Linked DNA regions of Caenorhabditis elegans. The protein of the gene in region 1 purifies or fractionates together with the protein of each later gene. This does not show direct contact. Each region holds a gene or a part of one and is shown on either strand. Other genes may lie near its edges.

The links.
Region 2: the proteins of K03B8.6 (region 1) and F49H6.5 fractionate together in Caenorhabditis elegans (co-fractionation; one large-scale study listed by BioGRID). This does not show direct contact.

Annotation. Positions count from the first base shown.
Region 1 is NC_003283.11:11,405,950-11,410,240, reverse strand, and holds K03B8.6 (uncharacterized protein), read right to left. Parts: upstream 2,658-4,291; 5' UTR 2,657-2,657; coding exon 2,534-2,656; intron 2,347-2,533; coding exon 1,714-2,346; intron 1,659-1,713; coding exon 1,500-1,658; intron 1,197-1,499; coding exon 1,116-1,196; 3' UTR 698-1,115; downstream 1-697. Other genes in the region: K03B8.8 (Conserved secreted protein), read left to right, coding at 514-694.
Region 2 is NC_003283.11:17,021,143-17,026,216, reverse strand, and holds F49H6.5 (GTP 3',8-cyclase), read right to left. Parts: upstream 2,977-5,074; 5' UTR 2,743-2,976; coding exon 2,578-2,742; intron 2,485-2,577; coding exon 2,220-2,484; intron 2,162-2,219; coding exon 2,058-2,161; intron 1,823-2,057; coding exon 1,703-1,822; intron 1,649-1,702; coding exon 1,310-1,648; intron 1,095-1,309; coding exon 974-1,094; intron 926-973; coding exon 870-925; 3' UTR 690-869; downstream 1-689. Other genes in the region: F49H6.15 (uncharacterized protein), read left to right, coding at 1-79; F49H6.8 (MS Related Protein), read left to right, coding at 3,554-3,847; F49H6.12 (MS Related Protein), read left to right, coding at 4,756-4,885.

The DNA.
Region 1 (4,291 bases):
CAGTTTTAGAAATTTTTAAATATAGTTCTTGAGAAATAATATAATTTTTAAAAAAAGTTTTGGTTTTGCAAAGTTCTTGAACTGAAAAAAAGGTTTGTGATTTTATCAAATAATTTTAATTTAAAACTCATGTGTTCAAAGTAAACTCTGCTTTCAGACATTCCACTAGGACGCAACGCACGTTTGCTATAATATTTACGTAAACAAGTAGATTGAGCCGAATTTCTACAGCATATGAATGTATTTAGACAAATTATGTCGAAAGTGTTCTTTCCGTGAAAAAAAACATGTAATCACGCTTAAGGAAAAAATGTAATCACGCTTAAGGAAAAAACACAAAACAAATGATTTCCGAGTAAATCCATATGTGCATGGTATGGAAATTTGGCCCCTTTCAGTCACCTTTGCTTATTTTGCAGAGTTTTTAATAAAAAGTTGAAAACTGTCAGTTTACATTCCACTTTTAATAAAGTAATGCAGACACAGTTATTGAGAAATAATAGTATATTTCAGACCAATTAATCAACGGCCAATAGGATTTGATCCACTGCCAAATTACCAGTACCCACCTCCTCCTTATCCACCAATGATGTATCCTCCGCCGTCGTATAGTCTGATGGGACGAGTTGGAAGTATGACTGATAACATTCTGGATAATGTCATGGAATTTGTGTTAGGACGTCGACGACGCTGAACTATTGCGAAGATTTGATTTATTTTTTGTTGCAAAATGAAGAAAATGACAACTTGAAATATAAAAAGTCATGAAAAGATAAAACAAAAATACACGTAAAACGTTTTTAAGAAAAGGCGGTGAAGGAAGGGAAAATAACTTAAGACTGTGGGTGTTGGGAATAAGTAGAAAACTTAAAATGTGAGTTAGGATTTAATTGGGTTAGAAACAGGAAGTTGAAATTCTGATTCGAAGACACCGGCTCAGAACTGAATTGGGCATAAAAAGTGAGTAAGCAAAGAAACAAAATTAGAAAAAAAAACAAATAAAGCAAAAAAGCAAAATCGATCGATCTTAAGATTGAGAAGGAAACGAATGAAAGGATCAGATCATCGGAAATGGGAGAGATTTGATAGAAAGGCATGAAGACAGATTGAGCAGATCATCTAGTTTGACATCCGACAAATTCAGACAGTTTCAGCGGATATTCTTGTACTACTTTGAACTTCTTCGTGTTGTAAACCTGAAAAATTAACATAAAAGATCGATTTATATTTCAACAGCAAAGTTGGAATCCTATTGAAAATTGTTACTATAGAGTCGCTATCGAGAGAGTTATGAATGCTCTAAAAGCTGATACGTATGCTGAACTCAAGATATAAATTTTCCCGATAATTTCGGCAATTGGCGTTCTCTGAAAATTTAAACTTATCGGAAATTGACGGGGCTGCCGATTTTCGTAAATATAAGTACTGTTTAATTGAGAATATCGCCAGCGGAAAAAAGTGGCCGACTGCCGAAGATTTTAATATTGCGGAAAGAATACCTTTAACTTGTTTGTCTTGGTGTACATCAAAAGTGTTTCTCCAGCTCCGTTGTACACGATTCCCAGTAGATCCCTTGGCAGATTTGGGAAATACTTGCGTGTGTGGCCTGTGAATGTGGCTAAGTTCCAGTATGCGTCGTAGATGATGAAGTGTTCACCCTGAAATCATTTCAACCATGACAAGAAGGTTTTCTTAAGATTGATATCAACTCACACTGAGAACAACTTGATTTCCATCGGCCCATTCAAATGCTGACAATGGATGGATTGTGATGTTTCGGGGAAGATCTTGTGGGGTATTTTTCGCCAGCTGGAATCTACGATGTTTTCTGTTCCAACGGAATCTGTATGCAGTTCGTCCATCAAAGAGAATTGTGACTCCAGATCGAGAATTTGTCAATGCGGCGGTCACAGTTCTCGGTCCTCCAGCAAAGAATTCACTGATCAAGTAAGACGCTTTTTGTGGAAGTCCGTCTTCAAACCAAATTTGATAAACCCTTTCGCGAGCAAAAACATAGGTTCTTCCATTGATTCCCTTTGTAATTGCATCGAATTTTTCAGGACAGACATCAAATGACAGAGCCATTGCTTTCTTTGGAACTTCAGCTTCTTTCTTTTTCGGAACAACATGAGTGATTCTCCATGGAGCAAGGATCAAGTCACGACGTTCACGTCCAAGGACGACTTTCTGCTGACGATGCTGCTTGTTTTTTCTACGACGGACTGTTGGATCTTGTCCACTGGCACGAATCATTTCCCATTTGGTCTGACTATTCATACGTGGCAAAGTTGGAACTTCTTCCGAATTTACTTCGTATTGAGGTGCGTCATCTTTGTCGTCGATCATCTAGAAAATAAGTAATATAACATTTGTTTAAAATTAGAAAATTCCTTCTATAAGAAGGCTGCAACAATAAAATAAAATAAAAAAAAACAGAGACTTCGCTAGTTCACTTCTAAATTTCGGACAATGTATTTCTTCTTCAGATTACTAGTTTTCACTCATTGAAGCAAATTTTTTGAAAAGAGCTTACTATTGGATCCGATTCGTGTTTGTAATAGGTGTCTCCAATTTCTGAATTGACCATTTTGTCCACGAATCGACTCTCCACCGTTGTCACCAGTATCAACAGCAATACCACCAGTGGCTTCCTCATTCTGAAGTTAAAATAATGTTTCTTCATAAATATTTTACAATGAAGAGAGGGCACGGAAAAATGAAAAAGACAACATGGTTTCCTCCAGACAGACTCAAACCACGCCTCTTTCATACACACGGCCAACACACATTGAGATGGTGTCAGGCAAAGTGTCAAGTAGAGACAATGTTTGAGATGAAGAGACAGAGAACATAGAAGAGGTATGTGGCAGATGAGCATTTTTTAAATTGAGAAAAGGCGAGAACGAGCAAGATAGTTTCAAAGGACAGAAAAGGAGGAAAAAAGTGAGGTCGAACGGAAAACTTTTAAAACTTTCAAACATGAAAAGGAAGAATATTTGAGCAAATAGGTTTGATAAAAATTTGATACAGTTAGGAAAAAAGAAGAAGATGCCCTTAAAATCAATATTGTATTTTATCTTATATGAAACTGAACCCGCTGAGTTGTGAATTTCGGACTATTACGATCAGATGTTTCACATCCTACGTTTCAAGTTCTATTTGTCATATTCTTTTTCTTAAAACCTCTGCCCTTCCAACAGTCTAGAGTAAAGTTACAAAAAGAATCCTTGATGACACATTTCTCACTCCTAACCTTCAATATCCCCGTTGTTAAAAAGCAAGCAACGTAAACATTTTTCCATTATCTACCATCGGCTACCATTTTATTTTTACAAATTTACGATCAAAAATAGATTTTTCTAAACAAAATCATGAGATATCGTCTGGGACATCAAAGTAATATAGCCGACGGCAATTTGCAAAATATGAGAAATATGAGAAGATCAAGAGAGGTATGAAACCACAACGTCTGCATTAACAAGTACCCCTATTTTGCATAACACGAGATTACGATACGTGCGCAAAGAAAACGAAAGAAAAGGACAAGAATAGAAGAGATGAGGATGGTAAATGTGTGAAAAACGGTTGAATTACCAAGTCAAGTAGGTTGAAGAAATGATTTCTTACGAGAAAATGTTGGGTATGACATCTTGCAAATGTCTAGACTTGACTTGAAATAGTAAAAAGGGTCAAAAAATTAAATTTTCATGCGAAGTGCTTTTTATGTTTATTGTACATGGTTTTTACGAAAACGATGTTCAAGTGATATTTTGAATATATTTTCTGTGTTTTAGATAATTCTAAAAACTTTTTTACGACTTTTTCCATAATTTTTGTATACGTTCATCTGAATGAATATGAAATTTCAAAAAGAAGAACTCTAAAGGATCAAACACCACAGTCTATGAAAGTTTGAATAGAGAATAACATTGATATTTTTCCCCATTACTCTCATTTCAACTCCATACATATCTCTTTCTTTCCCGTTGCTCTTCAACTTTTCTTTCTGATTTGAACGTGTTTGCGATACAAAAGAGCCGGGAGGTCTTCCTCGCCGCTGAGACAGTCGCCACCCGCCACATGAAATTATTTGTTCAAATTATGCCTTGTACAATAAGTGTGCGGCTCCTTGTTCAACCATGACACTTTTGTTTTCCGAAGAACAGAGTGGCTCATGCATCGGTCGTGGGGCAAGTCGGCTGAACACTGACTGAAAAGCTTGGCTCGGCGCGTGAAGTGTGCTCATCAGGAATGACGAGTTGCTCTTTTGTAACTCTCCGACAACATGTCT
Region 2 (5,074 bases), 5.6 Mb from region 1:
GCCAACTCAACCAAGGCAGCCCAACCCAACTCAGCCACCGGTCCAGTTGTTCTCCTCACCATTGTGGCAGTTACTATGAACAGTTATTGTTAACATTGGCGGTTTGAACGTTTTGTGAATCCAATAAATACATTATTTAATCACGAGTTTTTGTTATCACGGTGTTGAAAGTCTTGTCGTCTTCACATTGTCCTCCAGGAGTGAGCAGTATTGAAGCAGATTTTGAGGATGTCCTAACAAGCAAATATGTTCACTTGTCTTATTGACCAAATGTCATTCTTGAATAGCTTGCATTGTACGCGAAACCTCAGACCGTTTTTTCAGAACTTTGTTTGTCAGGAATTTTTTCGAATTTTCCAGAAGGTTCTAGAACTGTTATGTACCAAAAGCTTGCGGCTCTGTGCAATCAATCTACTAAGATTTCGGAGGCTTGTCGTCGCTGGAGAAGAGATTAGCACAAACTTATTTTTTTTAAGAATTCATAATTAGAAATATTTTCTTATTCAACAGTAACATTTTTTGTAGCATTATCTCAAGTTTCAACGTTTTTATGGCGTTTTTACGAGTTCCCATAATTAATTGTCACCCTGTATATAAAGTAAATGATATTTTAAAAACATTATCTTGTCATTATTTCATTTTAGTCAAGTTTAGAACAATCTTTATAATGTTTGAGACTTGACCGTAAAAAAAACATTTATTTACTTTAGATTTGAACAAAACATAATAATATCAATTTTAAGGTGACCGAAGAAATTTCCCGCCAAATATCTGCATAACCACTAAAGTGAACATGTATTGAAGATGGTGATGCGACTAAAATGAGAATTAAGCTTTAAAAAATCCGAAAAAAAAGTTAATACCTTGAGTTAGCCGCCGATAAGAATCATTGGACGATTTGGCAAGTTTTTCAGAGCGTCCATTCCTAAAAAGTGAATTTTTTTGAATCCAACTTGTCTGATGGGTTATTTACCGGCATGTCTAGCTTTTTTGTTGTCCACGGCTGTTTGAATGACCTCGGAAAGCTTTGCGTCAGAGTCACCACAACGAATTCTATCACGTAGACTTACTTCGGAATTTCCATGGAGGCATACCTTAAATTAATCAATGTTTTGAAAAAATGTTTTGAAGCATTCAAAATTTTTGATAAATTTAGAATGTCTTTTTGTACGTTTAAAAGTCTACAATGTCCAAACTCTTTTAATTTATATATTATTTTAAATTTTTTATAAATATGATTACACCAGTTTCACCTAATTACACCAGTTTCACATCTCAAAAATACTCTTTACATTTGTCAACAACTCACTTTCAAATTTCCATCAGCAGTTATTCTTAGCCTATTGCAAGTGTTACAAAAGTGATCTGACATCGAGGTGATAAACCCAAATTGTCCTTGGAATCCGTCAATCTTATAAGCTTTAGTTGTGTCATTAGGTAAGTCGGATAACCGTATGACGGCATCCCCATATTTATCAACAATTAAGTTCAGCATTTCTCGATAGCTCATGAAACTGTCATTTTTGAACTCGTTACCGCCAAAAGGCATGAACTCTATGAATCGGATGTCAAGGTTACGACCTTTAGTTAGATTCACAAAATCAACAATTTCGTTCTCATTTTGGTGTTTAAGAACAACAACGTTCAGCTGAAAAAATTATAGTTTTTTTTTAATCGAGAATGATCAGAAATTGAAACTCACTTTAACTTTTGGAAAATAACCTCTCGCTAGTTCAATTGCCTTCCAAACTTTGTCAAATCCATCCCGTCTTGTCATCTTAGCAAATTTTTCACGATCAAGCGAATCAATGCTGATGTTTATCTAAATCGAGGCAACTTTAAAAAAAATTAGTTTTGGTTGAAATGTAAGAACCAGAAGCTTTTTGAAAAAATACATTATTAACTATGATCATAGTTTGATCTGAATCGATGAAATTTTCAGGTAGATATGAAATAGGAATCAACAGCTAGAATTATTTATTGAAATGTCTCCGGCAACGATTCACAAGAGCGACCTTATATTTTTACAGTTACATATATTTGAAAAATGTGTTCACCTTTGTCAATCCGGCATCCTTCAACTTGGGTAAAAACCTCGGCAAAACAAGACCATTTGTTGTAATACCAACTTCTTTGATTCCTGGAGTAGAGGAGATCCCTTCTGAAAATTCAACGTGTTATGTTTCATCATTGTAGTTATACGTTCACAATGAACTCACCAACAATCTGCACAAGATCATTCCGAATAGTAGGTTCACCGCCTGTCAGTCTGACCTTGTCAACACCATGTGCAGCGAATAACTTTACAAGCCTTAGTACTTCACTGTTTGAGAGCATTTTATCTTTGGGCTTGAGTGGAATACCTTCGGCTGGCATGCAATAAAGGCAACGGAAATTGCATTTTTCCGTTAGAGATATCCTCAAATAAGTGTGCTCTCTCATAAACATGTCAAAAAATGGTAGTTGTCCTTTTGCCCGTTCGATCTGAAATTGTAAAATTAACGACCCTTGAACACTCCGAATTTTTTTATGTTACTGATTTCTAAAGCTCATTGTGACAATTATCTTCTAGAATACCTCTTGAATTTTCACTTTAACTGCTTCTCTTTTCTGTTCTGGCGTCAGCAAAACGATTGGCTCTGCATGTTCTCGTAATGGAACGGTTAGTTGTTTCACAATTTCTCCCGCTGATGACTTTGTCCTTGACCACTGAAATAATTTTTTTCCGGCTTGAAGACACATCTGTAATATTTATATCAAAATACTTCAGTGCCGGCCACTTGATTTTAAAAAAATTGGGAATTTACTGATGATATATTCAAAAATATAATAAAATTAAAGTGTAACTATAAAACGTTTCAAAACATTTTGGAATTTTTTAGTTCGAGTCAAAAAGTAGTGGAAAACTGAGTTAGCGCCACTGCTGGAAACTTTTTATATATTTTTTGAATGAATTAAGTGTGAGCAATATTATTCCTAACAATAAAAGTTGTTCAACTAAGTCCTATGACGAATAATGATAACGTCTGTTCAATAAAATATAAATTGAGTCTTGGCACACTCCTGATGGAAATTTTTTAAAGCACTGATAACTAGTCATGAGGGCAGTCAAATTGACTTTCAACTGACATTCTTCACTTTATGGCAACGAGCAATAGTAAAAGTTCCCAACATCGGAAGTTTGTGCGGGTAGTTGCCAGTGTTGTTGTAAATGTTTGCCGTCGTTATTCCAAAAATACGATTTTGGATTTTGAATTCCGAAATTTTTTTAATAAATCAATGTTAAAGTTAGCTTGCAATAAGTTAAAAGCAACTTTTCAACATGTTGTCTAACTTATTCAATAGGTGAAAAATTAGGAAATCGCAACTTCCAAAATTCCAAATATATTCTATCAGCAAAAAAGCTCATCAAAGTTCATTGAAAAATTGAATTTTTACAAAAATTATCGTGAGTATGAACTTTGAAAAGTTCAAAGGTCGTTGAGAAAGATGATCAAATACCCTTAAATAGCAAACTTTTTGGTTCTCACCAACAAAGTGCAGACTTGTAATAATGAATCCTCAGCGAGGAATTCTTTTTGCCTGTCTTCTCGTCGTTGTGACCAATCGTGGAGCTACTGCTCAACATGCAAGACCGCCAGTAGGAGTAACAGGAGATGTCACGGGAGCTCGCATAGACCCTCCGTCAGACAAATGTGAAAACCCTTCCGTCAACATCGCAACTACGGAGGCCCCAAAAATCGTCACAACAGCGGAGCCAGCAGCCAACTCAACCAAGCCAGCCCAGCCCAACTCAGCCACCGGTCCAGTTGTTCTCCTCACCATTGTGGCAGTTACTATGAACTAGGGCTCCCAGCTAAGTGAGGCGCGGAATGCGGGCCTCACGCCGGCCTCACGCCGGCCGGCCTCGCGCCGACGCCGCACGCCGCTGTGTGTGTGAAATGCAGTGCGAGAGGTAGTTATTTGAAGCGGCCGACACGTTCGGGGTTCCGCAGCTTAGTGTGAAATGAGTAGCTTGGTGTGTGTGCAACGTAGTGTCTCACTATACATGCGGCGTGGGTGACGCCGTGAGGCCGGCGCGGCGACCGCTGAGGCCGGCGAAGGCGCCTTTGCGGCGACCTCATGGGAGCCCTACTATGAACAGTTATTTTTAACATTGGCAGTTTGAATGTTTTGTGAATCCAATAAATACATTATTTAATCATCAGCGTTACTGTATCATCGTGTTGAAAGTGTTTTGTTCTTCTATAGTCCTCCAGAAGTGAGCAGTATTGAAACACATTCTGAGGATGTCCTAACAAGCAAATATGTTTACTTGTCTTATTGACCAAATGTCTTGAATATTTAGTTTTGTATGCAAAACCTCCTACTGATTTTTCAGAACTTTGTTCGTGAAGTTTGGCCTGAAAATGCAAACCATGGTCAAACACCGAGTTTTAGTTATTTCTGACAGGTGTGGACAAATTTCATGCTGACAGGTGTGGACAATTTCAGCTGCTTTAAGGCTAACTACAAGCTCTAGGAGTCTTGTTGATCTGCATCTTGGCCACGCTGCGTCAAAGGTGTCAAGTATCATAACTTTTGTATCACTTTTCATTAATAACATCGGTTCCTGAAAAGATCTGACAATTAAAAGCTTACTATTTAACGTAAATATGAACTTTGAAAAGTTCAAAGGTAGTTGAGAAAGGTAATGAAACTTACCTTAAATACGGACCTTTTTGAATATTTTCATCATTGTGCAAAAGTGCAACAATGAATTCTCAGCGAGGAGTTCTCTTTGCCTGTCTTCTTGTCGTTGTGGCCAATCGTGAAGCTACTGCTCAACCGGCAGGAAGTGTGGTTGCATTCCGAACAGGAGGATCTGCCGTTGGTGCAAGCCAATGTAAGCACCATTCAAGAGAATACTCTGCCGTCTCTATAATATTTGTTTTCCCAAAGACAATAAGAGAAACGCATACATGCAGACGCACAGAACTTGAATGGCGGCGGTTTTGAAGTTTTTGCGCCGCGCTGAAAATTATGATATGAGCTTTAAGTACTACTCACCCACTCTTGCTTGAGAATAGTTTTT